2 linked regions of the Saccharomyces cerevisiae S288C genome follow. Changing the gene in region 1 together with any one later gene gives a genetic interaction. Each region holds a gene or a part of one and is shown in the gene's direction. Other genes may lie near its edges.

Region 1 (6,015 bases):
TGTAAAAAGCTTTTTTTTTTTATGTGAGGAATTACAGGCGGAAGATACTCAAATAAAGCACTGATTTGATGTTACCGAACTTTTCCCCAGGCATAAAATTTTATTTTCATATTTCATCAATTCGATATTATTGATATCGCACCTAATGTAGTCATTTCCTTTCTCTCTTTGCTAGTAGATTTTAAAAAGGTTTCTTGCTGTATTTTTTTATACTTTTATAGACGCCGCTTTCCAAAGTTCATCTAAAATAAGTCGCTACAATGATTTGATCTTGATTCGGTGCTTCAGGAGCCTGCTTGCTTCTTTGCAGCTTCGGCAATTTGGAACCTTGTGTGCATATCCTCGTTTGTAAGCCCAGAAGCACACAGACATCGATCACATCTATAATAGGAGCATGCTATCATAAAAGATTCACAGTATTCGTATAATTACATGGCAGACTTTTTGAAAAGAATGGTATGGAACCAAGTGAGCGCCTAGAAAAAAAGCTGAAAAGCTGAAATCTTAATTGGATAAGAAACTTCAATAACATTTTTCACGCGTTTCTTTTTCAACTAGATTAGCCTTAACAAACGACAATCATCGAGTACCCACGCTCATTACGCTGAACGTGCAAATGTAACGGGGTGGAAACCTAAAACGTTGAATGAACTAGCCAGAACGATGACAATTGCGGCAAGCTTTCCATACGTGTTCTGTTGTTGCGGCTTAGAGTGGTAGGTAACCGCGCCAAGCAAAATTACCTACCACTTTAAGCCCAAAAAGGTGATGTGTAGCTATTGCGGCTGTGGCGGCTATTGCGGTTGTCGCCACGCTTGTCGCCAGGGTTGTCGCTACGAATGTTTCAGCTTTTTTTTCAATGGGCCACTCTTTTCACGTGAAGCGCTCCACGAAATGTGCGGATATTGCGGAAGCTCTCAATGATGAGCTATCGGTAGGGATTAAAATAAACGAGATTTGGCAGCAGTTTTAAATACCAAGGGAGTAGTATATCTAGCCTCCAATAACTTCATTTGTGGAAACTTACTTCTATCTCACTCTCTACCTGAAAAGAAAACAAATATTGTACATTCATCAATTGCTGGAACATAAAGAACATAAAATCAATATGTCAACTAGCTCCTCCGTAACGCAGAAAAACTTGGATACAAACGCGGAAGCCTTGAAAAAGGAGGATAAAGTATTATCAGAGTTTGATATTCAGGATGAGAGGCCTAAATCCCTTTTATGGGAGAGTGCCTTTGTCGGAGTGCTGTGCTCTGCCCAACTAATGACTCAGGCAGGACTTGGACAATCATTAGCGCCGCTTCACATCATCGGTAACAGTTTTGGAACAACGAATGCTGGACAACTTAGTTGGTTTGCTTCCGCATATTCGCTAACTGTTGGTACATTCATTTTAATTGCTGGAAGACTCGGAGATATCTTCGGACACAAGAAATTCTTTGTCCTTGGCTTCTTTTGGTACGCACTTTGGTCCTTACTTGCTGGGTTTAGCGTCTACTCTAATCAGATTTTTTTTGACTGCTGTCGTGCATTTCAAGGCATGGGTCCGGCCTTTTTGTTGCCAAATGCCATTGCGATTCTCGGACGCACATATAAGCCAGGAAGAAGAAAAAACATGGTCTTTAGTCTGTTTGGTGCTTCAGCACCTGGTGGCTTCTTCCTTGGGGCTGTTTTCTCATCCATGTTGGGTCAACTGGCGTGGTGGCCATGGGCTTACTGGATAATGGGTATTGCATGCTTTGTTTTAGCTGTAGCAGGTTACTTTGTAATCCCTCACACCCCCATGCCAAGCCGCGATGCCTCATCTTTCAAGTTGTTGGAACGAATCGATTTTGCAGGGTCAGTTACCGGCGTTGTTGGATTAATTCTCTTTAATTTCGCTTGGAACCAAGGCCCCGTTGTGGGTTGGCAAACTCCATACACATACGCTCTTTTGATAGTTGGTACCTTTTTCTTGGTTATTTTTGCATATATCGAGTCCCGAGCAGCTTTCCCTCTGCTACCATTTGCTGCTCTTTCTAGTGATACTGCTTTTGTACTTAGCTGCATAGCTGCGGGATGGGCCAGCTTTGGTATTTGGATATTCTATACATGGCAGTTCATGGAAGACTCAAGGGGCCAAACCCCCCTTCTTTCTAGTGCACAGTTTTCACCTGTAGCAATCAGTGGATTTTGTGCAGCCGTGACGACAGGTTTCCTTCTAAGCCATACACCCCCAAGCACAGTTATGCTTTTTGCGATGACAGCTTTCACAGTCGGAACTATATTGATTGCTACGGCCCCCGTTCACCAAACGTATTGGGCTCAAACGTTTGTGTCAATCATTGTTATGCCTTGGGGAATGGACATGTCCTTTCCGGCCGCTACAATAATGCTTAGTGACTCGATGCCACACGAACATCAAGGTCTTGCAGCCTCTTTGGTTAATACGGTGGTAAACTATTCGATATCGATAGGTTTGGGTATTGCAGGTACAATTGAATCTAGAGTAAATGACGGAGGTGCCAAGCCTTTGAAAGGATATCGTTGTTCGTGGTACATGGGCATCGGGTTGAGCGGACTTGGCATTTTTGTCGCAGCAACGTATGCATGGAGCACTTTTATGAAGTCTAAAAAAAGGATCTCCGAAAAGCAGCATTTTATAGAATAAGTTCATATATAGAGAAATACTTCATCGTGGTATATAACCCAAACTAATAGAAATAAATATAGTACGATCAAAGTGATAGAGAGGAGCCAGTATATCCCGTATCGTGCGATAAATATGAAAATTACAAGAGGCCATTCTCGAGTGAAAAGATACATTATTTTTTCAAGTAGAAACCTGAAAGAACTTCAGTAAGATAACTTAGCGCACACTTTCCTACTTTAAGCTCACCAAATGGCATCCCCAGGATCGACAGCATTACCACACAAGCGACAAAGAGTCCGAAAGGCTTGCGTGCCCTGTAGGGAACGTAAAAGGAAATGTAATGGCAAATCTCCATGTGAAATGTGCGTTGCCTATGGATATGTATGTCATTATATTGACGGTCGTGTCCCTTCGGCATCACCTCAAGTGCAACAAGTAGGTGAAACATCTCCTGATACGGAGAGCAGACCTTTTGTTCTTCCGGGTATACATAGAAACGAACAACCGCAGCCTATAAATACACAGAACGTTACAAGTCAAAACATTGTAGATCCAACTAAGTCTAGGTACACGATCCAGCACTCTGCAGTTGCTTTCCCCCGCTGTCTTGGTCTCGAACTCCGATCAACTAATCCTCCACGCCTACATTCCTTCGCTTGGCATTGCGGAATCAGACCGGAAGAAAATCCAAACTCACATGTCCTTCTTTCTGATTTAGTTACAAAGGAAGAGTATTACCGTATCTCAAAAGTTTATTTTTCAGTTGTTCACCCGATATTTGATGTTGTTAATCCAGAGCAACTGGCAAAGAATGTTGAAAAATACTGGGATGGCGACGTAAAAACCTTAGAGTATGGGGCTGTTATTGCAGGGGTGATAGCTTTAGGATCATTTTTTATGGGAAGTCTTGGCCATCCCCGAGAGATGGATATAGTACAATATGCCAAAGGGATCCTTGATGACCCGACTTTCAGTCGCATTCCCACGGTGGAGCAAGTCTCCGCATGGGTTTTGCGCACCATTTACCTGCGAGCCACTTCGAGGCCCCATGTAGCATGGTTAGCTAGCTGCGTAACCATCCATCTTTCTGAGGCAATTGGCCTGCATCATGAGATTGACAGAGAGGATATAGCGATATCGAACAACGTTCCACCAAAAAGAACTACTGTAGTGAGCGAACACACTAGAAGATTATTTTGGTGTGCATGGTCAATCAATACCATTCTTTCATATGACTATGGGCGCTCAAGTGTTACGCTGAATAGAATTACTTGCAAGCCAGTTAAGGAGACGGACGGTAATTTTACAGCTCATTTAGTCGCGTTAGCACACCTGATTCCCCAAGACAGCGTGAACGCAAACGCAGCGCAATTGTTGCAGGCCCTGGCGGCCGTTCATGAATCACCAAACGCACATCCGTTTTTGTCGTTGACCAAGGGTGATATATGCCTCTCTTTGTATAGAAGACTTCGTTTGCTGAATCATATTCTTGATAAAAATGTTGTTTTACAAATAATTGATATCGGCAACACTGCGCTATCAGCAGCATACGCTCTTGTAAAACTGGATCAAGCATGGTGGAATGTGTTGAGCACCTCATTCCAGTACGTCTGTGTCCTTCTTGCCATCGACACACCGGAAAGTCTTTCACATGTTGCTACTGCCATGAAAACGTTAGATAATATTACTCAAATTCTCGGTACACGTATTGCTTTTGAAGCACAAAAGACCGCAAAACTGCTTCTTGAGGATTCCATGAAAAAAAAAAGACAAGAAATTCAGCAGCTTGAGCAGGCAACTCACCAGAGATCTAATCTTGAAACTACTCACCTACTCGATATTGACTGGGATGCTTTGCTAGATCCATCAGACACGTTAAACTTTATGTAAAAGAGTATTATAGATTATGTGTATCGAGAAGCAAATTGATTTATAATTAGAGGGAATGGAATTGATGTTTAATACCTGCTTACTATATTTTATCTTTGATAATTGCGCAGAAAGTAATATATCCGGTATTTGAAAATAGGAAATTTAAAGAAATCCCGTCACGCCTGGAATGAGGGGTGAAACCTTGACTGATATTATATTCTTTTCTTGGACATAGTGTCTGAACCAAATGCAAATTGCACTGCATTGCACCAAATTGATGGTTCAAGTTCGATCTATAAAAATACGAGAGAAGGTCTGACTGTTTATGTCAATACTCAAGAGGCTCAGGAACAGTGTTAAAGCTTGGAAGTTCAATTCATTAAAGAAAAGTTGATAACGTCAGGTGGAAAACCGAAAGATAAAAATAAAAGCAAGTCAAGATTTGAAGTATTGCTGAGCGAAATTTTGTTTGAGTGGTCCGGAAATTTTTATACACTTTATTAGTATTTGGTTTAGTGTAGGTGGGAAAGCTTAGAACGTATGTAGAAAAACATCCCTGAAGAGTTCTCTAGATCTTATCATCAGCAATAAAAGAATGCCGTTGTGACACTTAAATAGTCATATCACATGCGGATACACTTCTAATACACTAGTCTTCTTTCACTGCCCTTTATTTATAAGACTCATGTCCAGTCTATTTTTTTTTTAAAAAAAAAGACTTTCAAGCTTTTTACAACTTGATATTCTAATATGAATAATGAATAATGAATAATTTAATTAATTGTTTTGTTTAAATTTTGTTCGGTCTCGGCTATATTTGGAAGAAAAATAGCCAGTACATACTTTCTACCACTTTCGCTCAATTATCAATAAAAACATTTAATCGAAAGTCATTCAAACTGAAAACTTCAAAAGTCATTTTTTTATTGCTTCCCATTCCAATCACAATTATGCTTTGAGCCAATTTCAGTAAAACTTTGAAAATACGTAGGCGCATCGCATCGCCTAACTTAATTCGCGGTTTAACTAGCTTCCTCCACCAGTTCCATAAAAAAATGATGGATCAGTGCAAAAAAATTTTATCATAAATCTGATGAAGTATACTAAGCTGAATAAGCTGTAGGCCTTATTTGCTTTTTTCATACCCTTGGTTGGTACGACAGTAAAGATTGGCAGGTTCGGAGATACAACTTTTTTTGAGGCTTAGAATGCTCGGCCTGCATAAAATGGCGTTAAAGTTGCGCACAGGCCCCGGAAACCCTGCCAAGGAATATTACATAAGTTGCAACATCTTTTTCCAATACATGGTTAGAGAGTTTTTAATCGTTATACTTTTTTCTCATTTGATTAAAAAATATAAAATGAATTGCGAAATTCTTCTAGAAATGCGTTACTATTTTACGGTTGGCATTGCAAGATTATTATAACTACGAAGCAGTGTTGGAAAATATCATCTGGGAAGAAATTCCTATTTCTTGGGAAGAATTACATGTGCATAAAAAGAT
Region 2 (5,179 bases), on another chromosome or scaffold:
ACCCGTTCCTCCATCTGTTATCACTACTTAAACGATTCGTTAACAGATGCTCATTTAGCACCTCACATATTCTCCATATCTCATCTTTCACACAATCTCATTATCACTATGAAGATGTTCTTGTTTTTGAACGAATCATACATCTTTGATAGACTTCGTATGTGGAGTACTGTTTTATGGCACTCATGTGTATTCGTATGCGCAGAATGTGAGAATGCCAATTATAGGGGTGCCGAGGTGCCTTGAAAACCCCTTTTGCGCGCCTGCGAAGTTTCCGCTTTCGGTCAAAAAGAAAATCCGAATTTAGATTTAAGACCCTCGTTCAGAAGCTTATTGTCTAAGCCCATATTCAGTCTGCTCTAAACGGCTTCCATGGAAGTAATATTTCTATCTCTTGAAATCCGTACAAGATATTAGACGTGTGTTGGGAGTCGTATACTGTTGGCGTCTGCAAATTCGTGAATTCTCCGCGAATGCCTTGGTGCAATTACGTAATTGTAGCCGCTGAAGGCGGATGGTTTTGAGAGAAGTTGATGTTCAAAGAATCGTGTATGATAAAAAAGAATGTAACCAGAAGCAGGATTAAAACTCGACGCAGAGGAAAATATTTGATTCCGAGATGTAACCCCCCCTTTTCTAGCCAGATATGAAGGAGAAAAGTGTAAGGGCAATAGATGGCGCTAATTTATTGAATCCAATTTTAAAAATGTTCTCTAGGAAAAATATTAATAGTTGATCCTCCTTGTAGCTTCTAAGTCAAAATAAATGTTTCTATCTTTATGGTAACGGCTCATAGTTACAGCTCAATTGCGCTTCTTGAATGTATTTCCAAAGTTCAACGTTTAATGATCTAGGCGACGCAGATTTTTTTGAGAACAAAAGGCTACTAAAGTTCCGTTCAAAGAATGCCTGACAATCAGTCCCATCAAAGAAAAACTCTTCGTTTTTCCAGACCCTCTTTTCAAATAATCGTGTATTCGTTTTCCTTGCAATTGTATCCCATTTTTCAGGGCTAGCACCCTGCTCGTTTATAATATCTGATAGGTACTGCATTTTATCATCAACTTTCATCGATTTAGGCCTTATGTTTTGAAAATCATCTATCATTCTAAAGAAAATGTCTATTAGCCAATAAGATACCAAGCATGCTGGTGATAAATTTGCACAAATAAAGAAGTCAGACATATCAGGAAGGAAGTCTAGTGGAGAGAAAGAAATCCTGATTCTCTGGCAACTCCATGCTAGCTTGCAGCGATAGGTTTCCTTAGGAAGCTTGACATTTTCCAACATAGTAAGTTTGCATTCCTTCTTACCATGGATCAACCTCCACTGTGCGTTTACTTTTGTAAAATAAACCTGCACCGCGTCTTCGGTGTAAGGGACCAAAATCTCAATTGAACTGAACCTAGGATCTTCGTTTTGTCTCCTCAAAACAGCTGGCTCTAGAATGGTTTTCCTGAATGCTTCTTGGCAGTCAGTACCATTAAAAAAAAAATGTGCAGTTTTCCATGCTTTGTTTTCATACAAGTAGGAATTGAAATGTATTGCAACAGCGTCCCAATCAGCAGAGTATGCACCTGGTGCACTTTTGATGATTTCTTTAGAAAGCTGGGTGAGTTGATTTGATAAAGTATATTTACTGTACTGTATTTGAACTACTGGCAAAATAGCAATTAGCGCCAGGATTAGAACTACTGAAGTCAGAAGGGGATAAAACCAAGTACTGGCCATCCCCCACCAAACGGCAAGCGGTAACCATGATAGCGACCAGATCCAAAATCCTGAGTTGCGAATCTCACTGCACAACCATGTTAAACGGTTTCTGAAAATATCCTCGGGCAAACAAAAGCTACTATGGGTCTCAAGACCTTTAGAGGACAAAAGTCTAATCTCTTCCCCCATATTCAATATAGTGTATTTCACATTAATGTTATGAGGTACGTAACAAGTTTACTGAGGTTTAATCACTCGCAGTGTTTTTTATATAATTCGCAAGATGAAATTTGTTGACAGCGCGTTCATCACGCAGCTGTTGAGTTTTATAGTTAAAGCCACGATCAAAAAAAGAGCAACAGCTTCGAGCAGTTTCGAGTGAAAGAGAATCTATGTTGGTTTATGTTCCGGAAGCACGGGAGAAATGGACTTCACTCAAGTACCCAAGTTATCACTAAAATGTAAGTCAATGTATGTTTACAGATACGAGCTGCGATGTTTTATAATACATGGTACACAATAGGTGAAGTATTGTGGCTTATTTTTGAATTATCAAACAATGTAATAGCTTTCCAAAGCATACCATATAACTCCTATGAATTAAGCGGCGGTCTCATTATAAAGTCGGGACACTTTTTGGTCAAAGCTCTCGATTAGTTTTTGAATACTGTGCAAAGTCTTTAATGATATTGTCATCAGTTCATAATCGAATTCTCTGGTACATTTTTTCTTATTTTATTGATCAATGTTAATGTCAGTTTGCTGGCTCTTGTTTTTTTTTTTTTTTTTTTTTTTTGACTGTTAGTTAAGTTGCCCAGCTAAGCTTACTCAATGAGTTAAGTATTTATTTTCATATTTTCATCATAAAATACTGCGCTATCTCGTGCCCTCGTCTCTTATACAATAGGCAGTACTTGACTAGAATCTAGGAGTGCTTTTCCTGAAACTCTCTATAATAACAACCCATCTCCCGCCGATTGTATAGTGAGCCAAGTGTTCTCATAATGGGGGTCTTGAAGAAGACTTCAATGGTGTCTCATAGTAGCAGTACTAGTAGTGCTAGGAAGATGAGCATTGTACAGCTTACTTTTCGTTATTAGTGATACATGACTGAGTGATTGTAGTTGGTAATACTGGATTAGTAATCGTTAAAAAGCGATAAAAATTAATTGAATGTCCACCCTGCATGATTAGTCCTTTTTATCTGGCTGGACAAATGAAGCCTATTATAAGTATTAATATATTAGCTGCTGCAGACTAGAAACGAAAGCAGTGATAAATCATTGATAGACACACATTTCCTCATCGTTGTTCTTCATTATTTACAGGAAAGAGCAGAGAAAGGAAGAAAGAAATTGCAAAATATATGACAATTAACACAAAGAACATAGTTGTTGTTGGTGCTGGTGTGTTTGGTGTGTCTGTGGCAAATCACTTGTACAGGGAACTGGGTGGGACATACGCAATAAAGCTCGTCACAGCATCTAATTATGTGTATTTTCTACCCTCAGCTGTCCGTTTGACGGTTTCAAAGGATTATACCAAGTCGATCCTGCCGTTAAAAAATGTTCTTGATAGTGGTATTGAAGTTATCAAAGATACGGCTGCCAGCTTTGATGATAAGGAGGTAGTTTTGGGGTCAGACAGGGCCATAAAGTTTGATATCTTGGTTCTTGCAACTGGCTCAAAGTGGGCTGATCCAATTGGTTCAACTTATACCTTCGGGGATAACTATAAAGAGTATTTTGAAAGAGAGGCTTCTCGAATCTCAGATGCAGATCACATACTTTTTCTTGGCGGTGGCTTTGTTAATTGTGAACTAGCTGGTGAATTGTTATTCAAGTATTTGGAGGAGATCAGGTCTGGCAAAAAGCGTATTTCCATTATTCATAATTCCGATAAGCTACTGCCGGACTCTGGGTTATACAACGATACCCTAAGAAAAAATGTGACAGACTATCTCTCAAAAAATGGTATTACGTTGTACTTGAACACAGTAGGGGCTTCTTTAGACACCTCGCCGAAACGTATTTTTCTAGGTGAGGGCTCATCTAAATATATAGATGCTGATTTGATTTACAGAGGCGTTGGTATTTCTCCAAATGTGCCGGTCAACAGTATTTCAGACCTTTGTGACAAGAAAGGGTTCATTCAAGTTGAAAAAAACTTCAGGGTAAAAGCTGTTGAGGCAGGAAACGTTTTTGCCATTGGTGATGTAACGAATTTTAGATATCACGGATTGGTTAAAAGAGATAATTGGGTTGATGTTTTGACCCGAAATGTTATAAGTTCTTTACAAGAAGGAACAGAGGCTAGTCTCGTTGATGCAGATTGTCTTGAGACAGGACATGCCCCAAGTGGTGTCTCCCTTGGGCCAAATGCAGGGTTTGGCCAATTTCCACTACCGTTACTTGGGACGATTAATATTCCATCGTTTTTAATTTCTAGAGCAAAGTCGAAGAATCTTTTCTCCGACAAAATGGAACCTTTATTCAAAAAATAGACTAAAATATGAACTGCAGCGTATATATATATATATATATATATATATTAGTTTCTGTATTGTGAAACAAAGAAGGCCGCTGGAAACAACAAATGTTGAACTTCGCATTCAGATAATAATCTATTAAAACCCGAAGTTACTCGAAAATGTTAGCTTTGGATTCTCACACTATATGTAGTTTCTTTGACAGTAGTAAAACGGTATTACACCTGTGCATTAGAGTTATCAATCGCTTGATAACAATTTGACATTTTGGAGGGTCCATGAAGATAGGTACTGATTTTACTCGAAGTGTGAATGTTTTATACCGAAGTTTTGTTATATAGAGATACAGATATCAACAGGATTGACCACCTTCTTTTTTAAACCTAGTATAATGGGGACGGTGAGAATTAACAGTTAAGGTATAGGCGTGATGCCATGGGAGGGGCAAATACGGAACTGGAGTAAAGTATTGTGTGGTTTAGGTGCTGGGAAAAAGAAAGCATTAGAATGCTCAATAAAACAGCGGCTTCCCGCATAATATTTTTTTGATTATTTCATTCCGAGAAAGGCCGATATATGCAGAGGCTACGTGTTGCTTGCCAACTTCAGTATACTTTGCTTGCCACTACCAGAAATTGACCCCGGGAACTTTATTTTTTAAGTGCCTAAAACTTATTTTCCTGCAGGGCGCGCAATAAATAAGGGATATAGCAAAACTTGAAACGTGGGGTAGTTTCGTGCCTTCTTATGTGCCTATCTTGATTTTTGCCTTTGTACCTGAGTCTCCTTACCCCGCGATACCCCACCGTATAGTCACTTTCCCTTGGCACGGGCTAAAATGACCGTAGGATGAGCTCAGCAAACAGTTCATTCCACGTACACTTTTCTTTTATTTTTAGCTCGCCACTTTTTTGATTCAACACTCCCCCCCATGATACGTCATTTTATAAACTTTTCGTGCGGACGTGAACCAATTAA

What was found.
Region 2: mutations in RDR1 (region 1) and AIF1 together harm fitness less than expected from each alone (positive genetic interaction), as found in Saccharomyces cerevisiae (one large-scale study listed by BioGRID).

Annotation. Positions count from the first base shown.
Region 1 is NC_001147.6:1,048,403-1,054,417, forward strand, and holds RDR1 (Rdr1p), read left to right. Parts: upstream 1-2,887; coding exon 2,888-4,528; downstream 4,529-6,015. Other genes in the region: AMF1 (Amf1p), read left to right, coding at 1,109-2,656. UniProt on the Saccharomyces cerevisiae protein: Transcriptional repressor of multidrug resistance genes, such as PDR5. Required for growth on non-fermentable carbon sources like lactate or glycerol.
Region 2 is NC_001146.8:776,639-781,817, reverse strand, and holds AIF1 (Aif1p), read left to right. Parts: upstream 1-3,079; coding exon 3,080-4,216; downstream 4,217-5,179. Other genes in the region: YNR075C-A (uncharacterized protein), read left to right, coding at 215-307; COS10 (Cos10p), read right to left, coding at 778-1,902. UniProt on the Saccharomyces cerevisiae protein: Putative FAD-dependent oxidoreductase involved in the resistance to cercosporin and other singlet oxygen-generating photosensitizers. Translocates from mitochondria to the nucleus under apoptotic conditions, where it degrades DNA and induces apoptosis.